4 linked regions of the Callithrix jacchus genome follow. The protein of the gene in region 4 binds, or shares a complex with, the protein of the main gene of each other region. Links are inferred from orthologs where the notes say so. Each region holds a gene or a part of one and is shown on either strand. Other genes may lie near its edges.

Region 1 (4,004 bases), on a different chromosome or scaffold from region 4:
ACCTGGGGAGGCGGGTTGCAGTGAACTGAGAGCCCGCCACTGCCCTCAAGCCTAGGCCACAGAGCTAGACTCTGTCTCAAAAAAAAGGGAAAGAAAGAAAGAGAGAGAGAGCGCGCGTGGGAGGGAGGGAGGAAGGGAGGGAAGGAGAAAAGGAAAGAAAGAAAGACAAAATGTGAAACATTTCAGTGATTCTGCATTGTGAGTTAAATGTTACAGCTAGGCTTGGTTGAGTACAGCAGTGAGTGACATGTCATACCAGTCCTGGAGCTTAGTCACGGCACAGACCCTGTGGATCAAATGCAGAGGACTCCCTAAGGGATTGGACTTTTTATACCTGGAATTGTCCAACTTATGGCACAAAGTAGGGTAAAGAGACCAGATTACTTTTAAGGCCCGTCCAATCCTAAAATGACGTGCACTGTAAATTAAGACTAGACAGCTCTAATGGCTTTACTGGTTTATCATAGGAAAAAAAGATTTGAAAGCAGAAAAATCAAACCAGTTCATTAAAATTACTTTGGGAGGGAAAAAAAACCCACGAAACTACTCAGGAACCGGTTTAGGAACTAGGGGTGAGCGGGAGCAGAAGGAACCTCAGGAAAAAGAAATCCTCTACTGGTCTCGTTTGTGACTTGTTAGCCAACTTCCGGGAGGCAGAAAGGGGAGGTCACGAAACAGGTGCAAAAGTGGGCGTGCTATGGAGTAACACTGGCGTCCAGCCCAAAAGTTACACACCTGGAGTCATGGTCAAAGGATGAGCCTTCCCAGTATTTTAACACACAAAGGTGTCTGAAGGCAAAAGCAGACCCAAACACGCACATATCCCACCCGCCACCCTCGCCACACACCCGGGACCAGGTTTAGAAAGCCAGGCGACAGCTCAGCAAATGCGAGCCACCGGAAACAAACCGGGCTTCTCGCAGTTCTTACCCACTCCTAATTGTCCTCATGTTTTCTTTTTGTTATTTGCCGAAATGTTCTTGGCTCTTCCACTCACCGAATCGGTCACGGAAACCCACAACAGAGCAGAGTCCTGATCTTCGCTTCGGCCAACCCCGCCTCCTCAGATAACGCGAGCTGAAGCTCCGCCTACGTTAGCCGCTCCTCCCCGCGCGGCGAGAAAAATGGCTATCCTGCTTCCTGTCCTCCTTCCGTCGCTCGCCTTCTTCCCGGGTGCTAAGTTGTATCGCGAGATTTCGGCCTCGCTATTACCTGGGCCGCGGGGATTGCTCACCCTTTTTTTCTGCGCGGTTGGAAGACGCAAGGTGGTTCTCGGGAGTTGGAGAACTGAGGTCGGGATATTGGTGAGTGCAGGTCTTCAGGACTCACGCAGCAGGCCAGTCGCGGGTTTTTGGCCAGAAGCCTGGGTTACAGTCACCAAGTGCGCAGTTAGGGCCGGCGTGAGGCGGTTTTGGGTAGGTAGACGTGGGCAAGGCCGTCCGGCCCTGGCAGCCGGGTGAGGCGTTACAGATATGGGTTTTTTCGGGGCCCCAGCGTTGGTCCGGAGGATCGAGTCTCGGAGGTAGGGCGGAGAGGGTGAAGGGTTCGCAGCTCAGGCCCCTCAGCGCCAAGCGGCTGGAGGCCCACACAAACGCAACTGTAGTGTGGGCGGCCTTCATTATATCTTGAGATGGAGGTGTTAAAATGTGTTGTGAACGAGTTTAACTTCCTTACGTGGTTTAAATGATTTAACCTTCATATATGGGAGACAGCCATTACTAGTGCCGGTTTCCTTGAGGTAAGGCGCTGCGGGGAGAGACGCGCTGGTGATAACGGTGATAGCTCCGGGTAAAGCGCCGCTCTCTGACCACGAGACCTCTTAGGAATCGCTAAATCCCGGCAGAGGCATCGACACCTAAGTAGGATGTGTTCCGAAAAACTTAGAGAAAGTGATTATTGAGCTAGCTTTCTTTTGATAATCCCTATTTAAAAAAAAAAAAAAGCAGGTATACCATTAATGCATGGGACCAAATTATTGAATTCGGTTTTTGAGCATTCGATACTTAATGACTTCGTAGAATCTTGTGCTTAAGAAACTAAAACTACAAGATGTTCTAACAGGAAATTACCACAGGGGTCCGTTGGGCATTTAAGAAATCTGAGCTCTTGGTGACCTTATCGTTTTCCTATATTTGAAATATTTTGCTAGTTTATCCTAGGATTTATATGTAGTGACTCATGTCGGGTCCTAAGAAACTACGGAATGAAACAAGAGAATGACTAAGGCTAAGACAGTAGTGAAATAAGTAGTTACCTTTATTGTTTATTTTTGTTGCCAAGCCTATTTTTTTCCCCCATTTTTTTTTTTTTTTTTTTTGAGATAGGGTCTTGCTCTGTCGTCCAGGCTGGAGTGCACTGGTGCAATCTCGGCTCACTGCAAAGCGATCCTCCGGCATGGCTGGGAGCACAGCCACAGGCCACCACACCAGGCCAGTATTTTAAGAATTTTTTTTTTTTATAGAGACAGGGGCTCCTTGTGTTGCTGAGGCCCACTACAAACAACCTCCATCTCCCAGGCTCAGGTAATCGACCTACCTCAATACCTCAGCCTCCTTATTGGGACCATAGGCGCGTACCATCAACATGGCTAATTTTTGTATTTTTTGTAGAGACTGGGTCTTGTTGGTCTTGAGCTCCTGGGTTCAAGTGATCCGCCCGCCTCGACTTCCCAAAGTGCTGGGTTACACAGGCATGAGCCATCCTGACCAGCCTGTTTTTCTTACAAGAAGGAATCGTTTTCTTTTTTTTGTATGTTGCCTTTTTTTTTTTTTGTATGTTGTATACTCTACTATGGAGATGAAGAGACAGAATTATGATAGTTTATCGAAAAAGGTTGAGAATTCAGAATTTGTCAGTTTCCACCAATAATGGCAAAGATACAGTATGACGAAATTAAGTTACTTAAATGAATCTAGGAATGAATGAGGAATCTTAGAATTTAAAATGGTCTATTGAATTTGATCAGGAGTTTAAAATGGTCTATTGAATGGAGATCGTTTTCCTGGTTTATTATATAGGGCACATTTTGCCTTAGCAATTCCCCTTCGATGTAGGAAAATGGCTTTTAATTGTACATTAATACTGTGTTGGTAATTATATGTTAATATGTGGCTAATGATAAAACTTCATATTGAAAGAGGCTTTTGTCCACCTTGTCTTTTTTGGAATCTTGTTTCATTGAATAGATTTAGAGGGTAAAAACTGAAAATCTGGAAATAGAATTTCTGGATTTTTTTTTTATATAGAAATTGATCTGAAGTGGATAAGCAGCTTAAGCCTGGTAAATGATTTTGTCCAAAATGAATGGCATAGTCTGACTGTGTTGAACATTATAGTAGATACCGTGTCAATATTTAGGGAAGCTTTGTCACATTTACTAAATTTCACAATTTCAGAAAACTTTAAAACAAAGAACAACTGATGGATAAATCAGGAATCGATTCTCTTGACTATGTGACATCTGATGCTATGGAACCTGCAAATCAAAGGTAAGTGGGTTTTTACTGGAGAACTGAGTAGATCCAGTCATATTTATTATATCTGAATTACTTTGAGAAACTAAATTATTATATATAATGAATGACAGTGAAGATAATTTTCGGGAATTGGGAAAGAAGGAAAACCAGATTTCACTGACCTTCCATGTTTATCTAGTTTATATAGATTGATATAATACTATTGCAAATAATTTTAATTTAAAAAATGAATATATTCTAATGGGACACATTCTTAGAGAAAAAGTTTATTCTTTGGGTCTCTTCTGGACTACATCATCCTGTTTTTGTATGGCAGGCTGTGTTTTTTTGTATTTTTTTTGTTTTTTATTTTCGTTTTATCTTTTTTTTTTTTTCATTTTTGGCAGGCTCTCTTTTACTCAGGCGTTTTTAGCAGTGAATCATACAGTCTTGGTTGAGCTCATACATTATCTTGAAAGATACATGATTTTTTTTTGAGATGGAGCTTCGTTCTTGTTACCCAGGCTGGAGTGCAATGGTGCGATCTCG
Region 2 (3,947 bases), on a different chromosome or scaffold from region 4:
TTTCCTCTGAGAAGGGGAGGCAAAGACAGACAACCACGGCCATGGCAGTGCAAGGGTGGGCGGTGGACCCCGTCCAGGCTTTTCATCACCCGCCTGCAGGATAGTGAACCGGGGGAAGTCTCGGTGGCGGTTGCCCCGCTGCCGCCCGGGCAGTGAGGCCGGGGTGCCGAGCTCCCCTCGCGGCTGCCCGCCGCCGCCGGGGGGCAGCGCCTGCGGCCTGCTTTCCCAGGGCTGGCCGAACCTTTTTGACAAACTGATTGCGTGGCGGGGATTGGCTGGTCGGGGCGTGACGCCGGTAACAACAAAGGTGGAGTTGGAAGAAATTAGATTAAAGGAGAGGAAAAAAATTAAAGGGGGAGCTGGCAGAGGACAGGAGGTAGAGACCGAGGGGGAGATTCGCGAAGCGGTGTCTCTCCCGGTTCCGACTACTCCACGCCCCAACCCCAGAAGATTCCTCGCACAAACCCACTGGGATTTTGCTCTTTCCCCCACCCCGGCCCAGTGGCCGATGCCGGGGTAGCAAGGATAGCCGCTGCTTCTTGAAAAATCCCGAAACTCCCACCCTGACACCCCTCACTACGAGCTAAGGAGAGAACTTTTTGCTCGGACTCCTCGGATCCTAAACCCAGCGAAGAGGGGAACATTGAGAAGCTCGTCCTAAAACCCGGAAGGCCCTCGCGGAGCACGGAGATCGGATAAGGCCGGGTGCTCCCATGGTTTTCCGATGTGTTGCAAATCTAAGAGCTTCTTTCTCGCTTTTTTTTTCCTGTAACTCCCCCCCCCGCCCCATTTTGCTTCTGGGTTGCAAAAGCAAAGAGCAATAAAAAAAAAAAAAACGCGCACACACTCAGACACACACCAGTGGCGACATGGGAGAGAGTTGGAAAGACGCAGGAGAGAGAAGCAGGAGGCAGGAAGCAGCGGGGATGGAGCAATGGGAGCGGGAAGGAGGCAGGTTTTCTCGCAAATCCCCCTCCGGCCTCAAGCCGTCTCGCCAGCCCCGGCAGGGGAGCGAGGAGCCGGGCGAACAGATGGAGGAGTGGAGCTCGCTCTAGGCAGCTGGGCTTGGCCGGAGAATGGAGGAGCCACCAAGCGACCGGCTGATTGGAAGAGAAACGCAGAGCGATGGAGGCGGGGGTAGGAGGACGATTTCTCTGCGGGGACTGGCGGCGGCGTACACGCCCGGGTCGGGCGCTGCAGAGCTTGGCTGGCTTTCAAGCCGCGCTCGCCGGCTCCAGCTCCGTGCGCCCCCCACTACTAGCCCTCCCGGCGGCTCCGCAGGTGAGTGCGAGCTGGGGGCAGAAAGATCCAAAAGTCTCAACACGCCCGCCCTGCAAAAAAGAAAAAAAAAAAAAAAAAAAAAAGGAAAGGAAAAAAAGCATTTTTCTTAAAAAAAAAAAAAAAAAATTTTCTGTGCAACCCCTAGAGCAGTGGGAGGGAAGGGGTGAGGCTGAGCAGCCCGGAGGAGGCGGAGGGGCCAGGCGAGGCCGCCGTGGCCCGGGAGGCGGCGGCGCCGAGGCGGCTCTGACGGGCAAGCGCTTGGAGCGGCGCTGCGCTGCGCCGAGGCGGGCGGGCGGGCGGGCGGAGCGGGGCGGGCGGAGCGCGGCGCGTGGGGCTCGCCATTAGCCGTCGCTCCGCTTCGCCATCTCGGGCTTTGTCTGGCGACTTGCTGCCCCGGCGTCGGCTGCAGCGGAGCTGCGGCTCGGCTATTCGGACCGCCGCGCCCCCAGGTGCCCCCAGCCCGCGCTCCCATCCACACGCTCGGTAAGTGAGCCCGGGCGCCGCGGATTTCGGGGGAGAGGGGTCGCTACGAGTGGCGGTGGCGCCGATCTCCATGCGCCCGGGCAGGCCTGGGGAGCCATGCCGGGCTGGATTGAACCGGCTCCCAGAGCGGCTTCTCCGCCGAAGCCCGTCGTTCCTTCGCCGTTTCCGGGGTGTAAAGAGCAATGGGGATTTTTTTTTTTTTTAATGCAGAGGTTTTAGTTTTTTGTTTTTTTTTTTTTTTAAGTTTCGTATGTGCCGTTCGGCAGTGAGGACCGCAAGGTAGGCACTGAAGCCGGGCGCCGCGATCGGCGTGCGTGCGCCCCAAGCCAGTGACCACGCTCTGGGGGATGAGGGTGTGCGCGGACCGCTCGCTCCGGGAGGCGGGAAAAAGCTGGCCTGGAAGCCCTAGTCTGAGCTGGGAGGACTTGGGGGAGAGCTCCGGAGCAGAGCTGTGGGCGCCCCCCGAGCCTCTCCAGCCGCCGGGGGCCCCTTTGGGCACCCTCTCCGCCGCCGCACCTCGGCCCTCCCTCTAGTGCCGGAGGAGCCTGTTAGTTCCCCCGCGGGTCTGGCGAGGTCGCTCTCGGCGCCCGCCCGCCCCGGCTCCGAGCTCCGCCGCCATCCGGGCGGCTGCGTGTCTCCCTGCCCCGGCCCCCCCCCCCGCCCGGCGGCAGCAGCAGCAGCCGCCGCCGCCGCCGCCGCCACCACCACCACCACCCCCCTCCCCTCCTTCCTTCCCTCCGCCTCGGCCGCCCGGGTCCCCCCAGCTCCCGCCCCTCCTCCCAGCTGCCCCCCGCGGAGCCCGCCCGGGCAGGCTGTGGGAGGGAGCGGAGCCGGCGAGGCGGGCGGGCTGGCGCTCGCTCCCCGGGGGTCGGTGTGCGCTCTACGGGGAAGGACGCGCTCGCTGCCCCGCTTCTCCCGCCCCCCCTCCCGCTCCTCCTCCTCCCTTCTCCCTCCTCCTCCCCGCTCCGGCGGCTGAGGCTGCGGCGGCGGCGGGGGGTGTGCGAGCTGAGGCCGGGGCCGGCGGCGGGCGGGCTGCCTGCAGGCGGAGGGCGCTGTGCTTTGTGCTTTTCGCCGCGAGGAGCAGCAGGCAGCAGCCACAGCCGCCGCCACAGCCACAGCAGCAGCAGCCGCCGCCCCAGCGCCGCCGCCTCGCCCGGAGGAGGAGCCGCTGCCGCCGCGGGAGGGAGCTGCGGCTGTGCCCGGCCGAGCGGGGGAGGGCGCCGCCGCTCAGAGCCGGGGAGGGAGCCGCCGGAGCGGGAAGCCCGGAGGCCGCTCTGCGCCGGGTAACCGAGGCGGCTGAGGACGCGCGCTAGGGTCGGGGCCTGACGGCAGGGAGCGAACCGCAGGGTGCGGTGGGCGCCCGGCTGGGAACCGGAGCAGGGGACCGGGCGCGAGCAGACCAGGGCACTGGGGAGGACGCCGAAAGCCGGGGGAGGGGAGGGCAGGAAGCGTGGCCCGAGCCGAGACCTGGCCGCTGGCGGAGGAGCCCGCGCTTCTCGGAGCCGGCAGGCGCAGTTCTCCCCGGCCGCCGGAGGGGGCGGCGGGGCCGGTGAGCGCTGCGCCCCCGCCTCCCGGCCGCCGTCCTCCCGCCCTCTGCTTGGCTCGGCTCCCCGGAGGCCAGGGCGGGGGCGCCGGCGGGGCTGGGCCGCAGGCTCGGGGGAGGAGGCGGCGGTTCCCGCCGCGGTCGCGCCTCTGCGCCGGGCTCCTCCGTGCGAGTCGGGGTGGCTGGGCGGCGGCGGCGCCTCTGGCCGGGGTAGGTGGCTCGGGGCGGGGGGCAGGCTAGGCCGCTTCTCTCCAGCTGCTCGCCCGCCTGAGCGGGCGGGGAAGGCGATGGGAGCCCGGGAGGGGGGAGCGGTGGGAATCCGAATCCGGTCCCCGGGGGCGGTGCGGCCGTTGCGCTCCGGGGCTGGCGGCGGCTGCGCTGCGTCCGGGTCCCCGCCGGGTTGCGGAGGCGGGGGGAACCGGCCGGGGGGAGGCGAGAGGAGGAGACTGGGGCGCGTGCCCGCTTCCGTGGTCGCGCGCGCCCTTTACCCGCCCTTCCTCCTCCCCCGCCCTCCAGCCTGGGGCCTCCCCGGGGCGGGCGCTCAGAGGAGGAGGAGTTTTTTTTGGCCAGGGTTGGGGAAGGAGGGCGGAGGGCGGGCGCTTGCTGCACGCGGGAGCTGGGAGCAGGCTCTCGCGTGGGC
Region 3 (4,245 bases), on a different chromosome or scaffold from region 4:
AGAGAAAATAGTGATGGCTTAATTATTCACAAGTGATCTTAGTTATTTATAGGTGATCTTAATTCTTTTACTAATGCCTCTCAGGTCTCAGGCCGGAAAGTGAGAACCTGGGGTGACATTGTGAGGGCAATGACCCTAAAGCAAGACGCTTTACAGCAGCTATGCCTGCATAAGGGCGACTAGGGCCGCCTCTGCTGTGCTACCGCGTCAGCACTGAGAAAATGCCCGCTGTTGAGCCAGCTAGGGAAGGAGGCGTCCAAAGCTGGCTGAGACGTCTCATTCACCGGGGGAGTTAAGCGAAAACTCCACTCCTCCAATCTCTTGCCTTAGGCCTGACAGCTGTCAGGTAGACCCACAGGCATCCGGGGGCTTATTTGTCTCTATGTGATGCTGTGCTTCAGTGGTCACATTCCATGTCCACTCTCATGTCCTACTTCTGTACCAGGTTCCTATTTTCTTAGAAGAGATAATCAGTAAGAGTAATATAAACTTAATGTCTTTGTTCTTTCTTAACAAGTATGGAAAAGTGCTAACGCATTAGGCTCCTTGCCTCATCCCGGCTCCTAGAAATTCCTGGGTCCGTACCTGTATGATATGTGATGTACTTGACCCTATCACTGCTACGCCCCATCTACCTTTCCCCTGGTTGCTGACCACCAACCACCAATGCCACACCTACTTACCCTGCCCTCAGCTTTGTACTCAAAAAAAGTCAGAATGCGCAGACACGACCGGGGCCACTGCCGGACTCCGCGATCTGGCTGGCAGTGAACCCCCCCCACCCCACGCCACCCCACCCAAACTTTCTATCTCTGTGTCTTATGTCTTTTATTTCTGGTTTCTTTTCTCCACACCAACAGAGAGGGGCTCACAGAACCCTGTAGGGCTGGACCCTGTACCTCCTGACTTCACCCTCACCACTTGCGGTCCCTCAAGAATCCGACTTACCCCTTACAAGCGGCGAACTGTTCCCAAAGCACACAAGGCTAGTTGCGCTCTGCTGAAAGCCCACGTTCTCCAGCGGGACCCAAGGAACACTAAAACTGTACGTCCCAGAACACTTAGCTTTCTTTTTAACTACTCTGCAGCCGCAAAAGGGAAAAACCTGCTCAGGATCAGGGATAGTTGTAGTTCTCTAATCCAAAGAAATCAGTATTCAGCAAAATACAGTTTTCAGGGGGATATCTCCCGGGACTCGGTTCCTGTAGGATGTGAGACAAAGAATAAATATCCGAGGATTGGGTACTGGTGGGAAAATTTGCTGGAAGCGCAGCATTGGCTACGAATTTTGTGCTCAACGTCTCAGCACTAGGGTGAAAGTGAAGCCGCAAACTCCCTTCGGAGAGGTTAGGCTCCATCTCTAAGGCTCCCGAGACAAGGTTCGCAATTATTTATGACGTCACAACCAATTGTCAGCCCGAATGCGTGACGCTCTAGCCGGCTCTAGCTCGCCGCTGAGCGGCGGGCGTAGAGCTGCCGCTCTAGCCCATGGAGTTGGCTCGCTCCTCTCGCCGGCCCCAGGAAAGGGTTGCAAGTCCTTTACTACCCGACGCTAGCTGGTAAGCCATTCCGGGCGTTTCAGCTCCCTGGTCACAGAGGCAGGAGGCGTGCGTGGGAGGAGAGCTCGGGTTATATACTCCCAGGTACTGGGACAGAACTGTTATGACCTCTGTGTTGGGGGGATTCCTCTCTTTTTGTTAATATAACTTCTAACTCCCTCTTCAGGCCTGACCGCATATGCGTCATGGACCTAGCCAGCACTTGCTCCAGCTTTCAGTCGGACTTGGATTTCTGTTCAGAGTGCGGCTCGGTCCTGCCTCTGCCAGGGGCTCAGGATACGGTTACCTGTACTCGCTGTGGCTTCAACATCAACGTTCGGGGTGAGAGGCTTGTACGCAGTGGTCCTGGCGGAGGGTCCAGGGTCGGAAACTTGGGGACCTCAAGATCGGCAGGGGACCCTAGAGCAGGAGATCAGGCAATTGTACATTTGGTCTCGAGATGAAAAATGAAGGAAAGGATATAGGGCTTCCTGGCCTAACCAGTCAGGGGAAAGGGGAGGTTTCCGGTGTCAGCTCCCTCTGGTTGTCTCCATAACCAGTTCTTACTTGCCTGTGCAGACTTTGAGGGGAAGGTTGTGAAGACTTCAGTTGTGTTCCACCAGCTGGGGACAGCCATGCCTGTGTCGGTGGAGGAAGGGCCTGAGTTCCAGGGACCTGTGGTAAGTTAATGAGCTCAATGACTGGCTCCATAAGGTGGGTAGGAAAGAAACGGAGGAATGATTGCAGAGATCTGGAGAGTTGTGTGCCCAAGTCCAAGAGGGAAAAGAGATGTAAAGCATCCATGTTTGAGAGGAGTGATCGCCTGATTCCTGTGGGAAGTGAGGGGATATGAACTGGCCTCCCTAACCCACCGGTTTCTTCCCAGGTTGACAGGCGCTGCTCTCGATGTGGTCATGAAGGAATGGCTTACCACACCAGACAGATGCGTTCAGCAGACGAAGGGCAAACTGTCTTCTACACCTGTACCAACTGCAAGTGGGCATCCCTTCCCCTCCCTCTGCTCAGTCTGTTTGCTAACTAAACAAATCCAGTGATTCTGTTGTTGTTGTTCTAAACCACCATTTCCTTTCGTCCCATTTCTGTGCAGTTCTGGTAATAAGAACATTTGTGGTTGGTTTTTTTTTTTTATTTTTTTTATTACACTTTTTTCTTTTTTTTTTAGTAGAGATGGGATTTCTCTGTGTTTCCCAGGCTGGTCTTGAACTCCTGAGCTCAAGCGATCCACCCACCTCAGCCTCCCAAAGGGCTGGGATTACAGGCATGAGCTACCCTGTCTGACCTACTTTTAGGATATATAAAAGGAAATGAAAAAACAAACAAACAAAAAACATAAGAAGCAGGTATTGTTTAGTGGTCGGCATCTTATACTGCAGTCTTCAACTGCAGTCAAGGTAGCTTTACATTGGAGAAAATTAGTCACGCACGATTTAGGGAACATGGGCTTTCTGAATTATTTTAAGACATCATCTTTGTCTTTGGTGTCCTTCAGTCACTACAGTATATAAAAATGTGATTTTTTAAAAATTCCGTTTGGGATTTGTTGCACTTTCTGAAACTGAGAGTGAATTTTTTTTTTTTTTAATCAGCCTTGGAAAATTATCAGCTATCATCTCATTTAATATTGCCTTTCCCCCATGTTCCCAGTCCTCACATTCTGGACCTCTAATTAGTTACAAGAAGAGAGGTGTCTCTTTTGTCCTCCATTTCTCTCACCCTCTTTTCATATTTCAATCGCTTTTCTCTTTATGCCACCTTCTGGGTAATTTCTTCAGGTCCCTCTTCCATGTCACTAATTCTGTCTTCAGTTTATTTTAAATATTATTTTTTATTATTGCTATTACTTTGAATTCTATTTACTTTTCAAATCTCCTCAATTTTTAAATAATTTTCAGTTCCTTAATCATATTTTAAATTGTTCATTCTTTATATATTTAAAATATTAATTATGGTTATTATAGTCTATGTCTCATAATTCTGATATCCATGGATTTTGTCTTCTGATGCTGCTGTCTTTTGTTTCTGCTCTCTCATGGTGCCTTTTTTCTGTTTTGTGATTTTGTCTATAAATTTGAGTTTTTTAGAACTTGAACTGTAGGAATTCTTTGAGACCTTGAGTGAGTGCTGTATTCTCAGCATTTGCATTTCTTTTCCTTGAAGCACTATCAAGCTGGAATTACTTTAAATAAATTCTTGGCTTCATGTTTTTTGGAGCAGACAGATAGTATGAATTTGAGCTGCAAATCCACGTAAGGGTTAGCTTATGGTTAGAAATTCTCAGGAGAGAGTTTTCTCTCCTGCCTACTAAGACAAATTCCCCTTCTATAGAGTTGAATTTTTTCTTTTCTTGTTCACTTTTACAAAAAAGGGCAGCTCTTTGCAGTTCCCAAATTTATGCAGGGAATCTCCTATCAGACCTTTTACATTTTGTCCCTCATTTCCTATGCTTTCAGTGACCGTCATAACAGTATTAAGGGCACCATAGTGTCACGTTTCATTGGGACTTCAGTTTTCACTGTCTGGATTTCTGGTTTTGCATAACTTTTACCAGTGTGAAGTTTGCCTTTACTTTCTCACCATCTCATCAATGGATTAAAAATATTCACAGTCAGATATATCTTTTAAGAGTATTTTTTCCTATCGCTGGTTGTCATTTTACCAAAAAAAAAAAAAAAAAAAGATTTTTTTT
Region 4 (3,500 bases):
TATCAGTTTCTAAGAACAGTATGCAAGAAGAAGAGGGAGTATATGCATATAGCTTGAAGAGTTTAAACCTCCTTTACTTATATACCCATCAAAATTATTGGCTTTTCTATTAGACTCTTACAACCTGAGACCCTTCTTGGGAAAGAATTGGGTCATTCAGCAGGGATGGGGAGACTTTGTGACATTCAGGTAAGGGAGAAGAGTTGAATCCTCTGGCATTCTGCAGAGAAGAAATCTTGAAGTCAGTAACAGACCTCAGAAGCTCCATGTAAAAAGGACTGATAACAAGCTTTTGGAAGAGTTACAGTATTTTTCCAGTGGTGAGGGGTAAAACATAAGGGTCTTCACAGACTTTTCCTTCAGCTGGTAGTTGTCGTTAAACATGTAACCCTGTCTGTTGTGGTGGCAGGTTTCTTCACAATCTCTCCTAGGGTGCTTTTGAGTATTCAAGAAAATAACCCACTTGAAATACCCAGCATACACTTGGCACTGGGCTGAGATCAGTATTAGTACCTTGCTTTAATTTTCTCCTTATAACCTAGAACCATTTCAGAAAAAGCAAAATGCCACTGAGCAGTTTATTTTCTTTGAACGTTCTTATTGTCATTTCTACACTCCTGTATCATGAGATCTTGACATTCATTCATTCATTCATTACAAGTTCACTCTTCCCTTGTGAGATGCAACAGAAAAGTAGTGGAAGCGGTGACTGAGTATTTTTATTTAGGATTTTGCTGGGCATCGTTCAGGAAAATACACATTTTTAAAACTTGTTTCACTTTTTTTAACATGGTGACTATTCATTTTTTTACCTTTAGGTTAGTATTTCAGAAAAAATATATATAATGGAAAACATTTGAAATCTGAAATTATATAAAATATTTAGTTTCAACATTTGGTTACACATTTGCTAGGTTGTAAACAAGAGACTATAAGAATGGAAACCTTTTTCAATGGTACAAAAATTTCAAGTCACTAAGCTGCTAAGTTGTGGGTTAATTTAAAAAAAAAGGAAAAATTCAAGTCATAATGTGTAAAACACAAATTGTAACTGTAGTAGCATTAGACTTAGTAAATTAGGATTGCAAATGCTAAAATGTGCTATTTGTCATTTAGAAAAAGGCTGGGATTGGTATGTGTGTGAAGGTTTCCAGCACATTCTTTATCAACAAGCAGAAGCCTTAAAGAACCTTGGAGTAGGCCCAGAGTTAAAGGTAAATACATTTGTGACTCGATGCTAATTTTACATACTATTCTTAAAGAACAGTAAGATTTAGAGTGGAACGAAGGAGAAATCAGTAATAATACTAGGGCTGCTGGAAGAATACTTTTTCTGATGTTTTTGCTTTAATCCTTTCAGTAGGCCAGCAATTCTGGAAGTGTGTTCTACAGGATGTAAATAAGCAGTTCATCTGAAAGAAAAATGTAAAGGTTTTAGTCTTCAGGTACTTGGGAAACAACAGGTTAAATAAAGTAAAACTCAAATAACTTTGGGGGTTTATTAGTGCCTTTTTTGTGTTAATGTGCTTGTTTAATTTCCAGGGAACGTCCTGTGTGGTGTTCACAATTTGAGAACAAAATTGTTTGGTGTATGTACATAATGTCTGTCAGGACTCGAGTTCCAGAGAACGTGCTTTGGACAGTGATATGTTAAACCAGTGGTTCACCTGAGTGTGCTCACAATCACCTGGGGGGCTTCATAAAGCACCAGTCACTGGACCTTAGCCCCAGAATTTCTAAGTTAGTAGGTCAGAAGTAGGGCCTAAGAATGTGCATTTCTAATGAGTTCTCAAGGGACACCGATGCTTCCAGTGCAGGGACCAACCACACTTTGACTTTGCTGCCTCCCTGGAGCAACATAGTATTTCTGTAGTTACTTGAATTTCATATTCCTTCATCTAGTACAAGCCATTTCGGGAATGCTTTAAAAAGCCAGTTTTTTAGCAACAAGTTGTTCACTTGCTTCGTATTCTTCATTGGAAACCAACTGTTGAGATATCCAGCCTAGTTGGGGAGAGGGATTTATGCATATGTGAAATGAGTAGACATGAATTTATATGGTGATATACACAAGTGATTTTTTTTAAGATATGGAGTCTTGCTTTGTCACCTAGACTGGAGTGCAGTGGCATGATCTTGGTTCACTGCAACCTCCGCCTCCCACGTTCGAGCAGTTCTCCTGCCTCAGCCTCCTGAGTAGCTGGGGACTATAGGCTTATGCCACTACGCCCTGCTAATTTTTTGTATTTTAGTAGAGACAGGGTTTCACCATGTTACCCAGGCTGGTCTTAAACTCCTGAGTTTAGGCAGTCTGCCTGCTTCGGCCTCCCAAAGTGCTAGGATTACAGGTATGAGCCACCACCTCACTTATAAGTGATATTACTCATAAGTGATATTAAAGGCAAAAAGAGAACAGAGAAAGATCAATGTGGTCTGCAGTCACCAAGGAAATATTCGTAGAGGAAGGAGCCTTTGCTGTTCAAACCGGTGGTTGGGGCAAGCCAAAACAGAACAACCACTCTGATCCTTAATTTACTTAATATGCAAAAGAAAAGGACTCAGCTAGGTGATTTTCATGCTCTTTCCTTCTCTAAAATCTAAAATTAAGAAGGATTTTTTTCTGTGTTTCTCAGGTACCTGATACTATGATGATAGTATAATTCTTTTTTTTTTTTTTTTTTTTTTTTTTTTGTGAGATGGAGTCTTGCTCTGTCCCAGGCTGGAGTGCAGTAATGCGATCTTGGCTCACTGCAATCTCTGCCTCCTGGTTCAAGCGATTCCCCTGCCTCAGCCTCCTGAGTAGCTGGGACTACAGGTGTGCACCACTATGCCTGACTAATTTTTTGTATTTTAGTTGAGACAGGGTTCACCATGTTGGCCAGGATGGTCTCAATCTTCAGACCTTGTGATCTGCCTGCCTTGGCCTCCGAAAGGATTACAGGCGTGAGCCACTGCTCCTGGCCTACTATAATTCTTTTTAAGGAAAAGCAGGTAGGAAGACATTTAGATGGAAGCCTGAACCAGCCCTCCAGGTGATTCTGACACACACTCAAGCTCGAGAACCACTGGTTTAACATATCAGTCCCCAATGTGCATTTTATGGGACTCAGGTTTTGATAGATGCTATGTATAGACACCGAAGATTTTGTTCTCAAATTGTAAATATGGTATATAACATTTCCTGGAAATTGATATGTACATTAATGTGTAAAGTACAAGAGAACTGTGGTATAGATATGCCTGCACATTTGTCGTCATAACCTGAATCACCCACCACTCATTTCCCTTCCACCTTAGAATGACGTTTTACATAATTTTTGGAAGCGCTACCTTCAGAAGAGCAAGCAGGCATATTGTAAGAACCCAGTTTATACCACTGGAAGGAAACCTACGGTAAGTCACACGTCAGAAAAGTTGGACTAAAAGACATGTCTAGTGAGATGTAGAGATGAAGATGGGTCCACGACCAGTTTGAGTATCTGGGATTATGATCCTTGTCA

Evidence for each region.
Region 1: TAF1B (region 4) and TAF1D share a complex: the UniProt entries of both Homo sapiens proteins name them as parts of the transcription factor SL1/TIF-IB complex. The link is inferred for Callithrix jacchus from reciprocal best matches to the Homo sapiens genes TAF1B and TAF1D.
Region 2: TAF1B (region 4) and UBTF share a complex: the UniProt entries of both Homo sapiens proteins name them as parts of the pol I pre-initiation complex. The link is inferred for Callithrix jacchus from reciprocal best matches to the Homo sapiens genes TAF1B and UBTF.
Region 3: TAF1B (region 4) and POLR1H share a complex: the UniProt entries of both Homo sapiens proteins name them as parts of the pol I pre-initiation complex. The link is inferred for Callithrix jacchus from reciprocal best matches to the Homo sapiens genes TAF1B and POLR1H.

Annotation. Positions count from the first base shown.
Region 1 is NC_133511.1:46,622,432-46,626,435, forward strand, and holds the start of TAF1D (TATA box-binding protein-associated factor RNA polymerase I subunit D), read left to right. Parts: upstream 1-1,204; 5' UTR 1,205-1,304; exon of another isoform or gene 1,305-1,415; intron 1,416-2,324; 5' UTR 2,325-2,429; intron 2,430-3,395; 5' UTR 3,396-3,420; coding exon 3,421-3,488; intron 3,489-4,004. UniProt on the Homo sapiens protein: Component of the transcription factor SL1/TIF-IB complex, which is involved in the assembly of the PIC (preinitiation complex) during RNA polymerase I-dependent transcription.
Region 2 is NC_133506.1:71,070,974-71,074,920, reverse strand, and holds the start of UBTF (nucleolar transcription factor 1), read left to right. Parts: upstream 1-1,147; 5' UTR 1,148-1,281; intron 1,282-1,649; exon of another isoform or gene 1,650-1,764; intron 1,765-2,008; 5' UTR 2,009-2,043; intron 2,044-2,993; exon of another isoform or gene 2,994-3,111; intron 3,112-3,376; exon of another isoform or gene 3,377-3,517; intron 3,518-3,947. UniProt on the Homo sapiens protein: Recognizes the ribosomal RNA gene promoter and activates transcription mediated by RNA polymerase I (Pol I) through cooperative interactions with the transcription factor SL1/TIF-IB complex.
Region 3 is NC_133505.1:34,798,474-34,802,718, forward strand, and holds the start of POLR1H (DNA-directed RNA polymerase I subunit RPA12), read left to right. Parts: upstream 1-1,445; 5' UTR 1,446-1,488; coding exon 1,489-1,559; exon of another isoform or gene 1,560-1,725; coding exon 1,726-1,880; exon of another isoform or gene 1,881-1,958; intron 1,959-2,117; coding exon 2,118-2,218; intron 2,219-2,424; coding exon 2,425-2,534; intron 2,535-4,245. UniProt on the Homo sapiens protein: Core component of RNA polymerase I (Pol I), a DNA-dependent RNA polymerase which synthesizes ribosomal RNA precursors using the four ribonucleoside triphosphates as substrates. Can mediate Pol I proofreading of the nascent RNA transcript.
Region 4 is NC_133515.1:105,121,621-105,125,120, reverse strand, and holds part of TAF1B (TATA box-binding protein-associated factor RNA polymerase I subunit B), read left to right. Parts: intron 1-1,116; coding exon 1,117-1,214; intron 1,215-3,297; coding exon 3,298-3,393; intron 3,394-3,500. UniProt on the Homo sapiens protein: Component of RNA polymerase I core factor complex that acts as a GTF2B/TFIIB-like factor and plays a key role in multiple steps during transcription initiation such as pre-initiation complex (PIC) assembly and postpolymerase recruitment events in polymerase I (Pol I) transcription.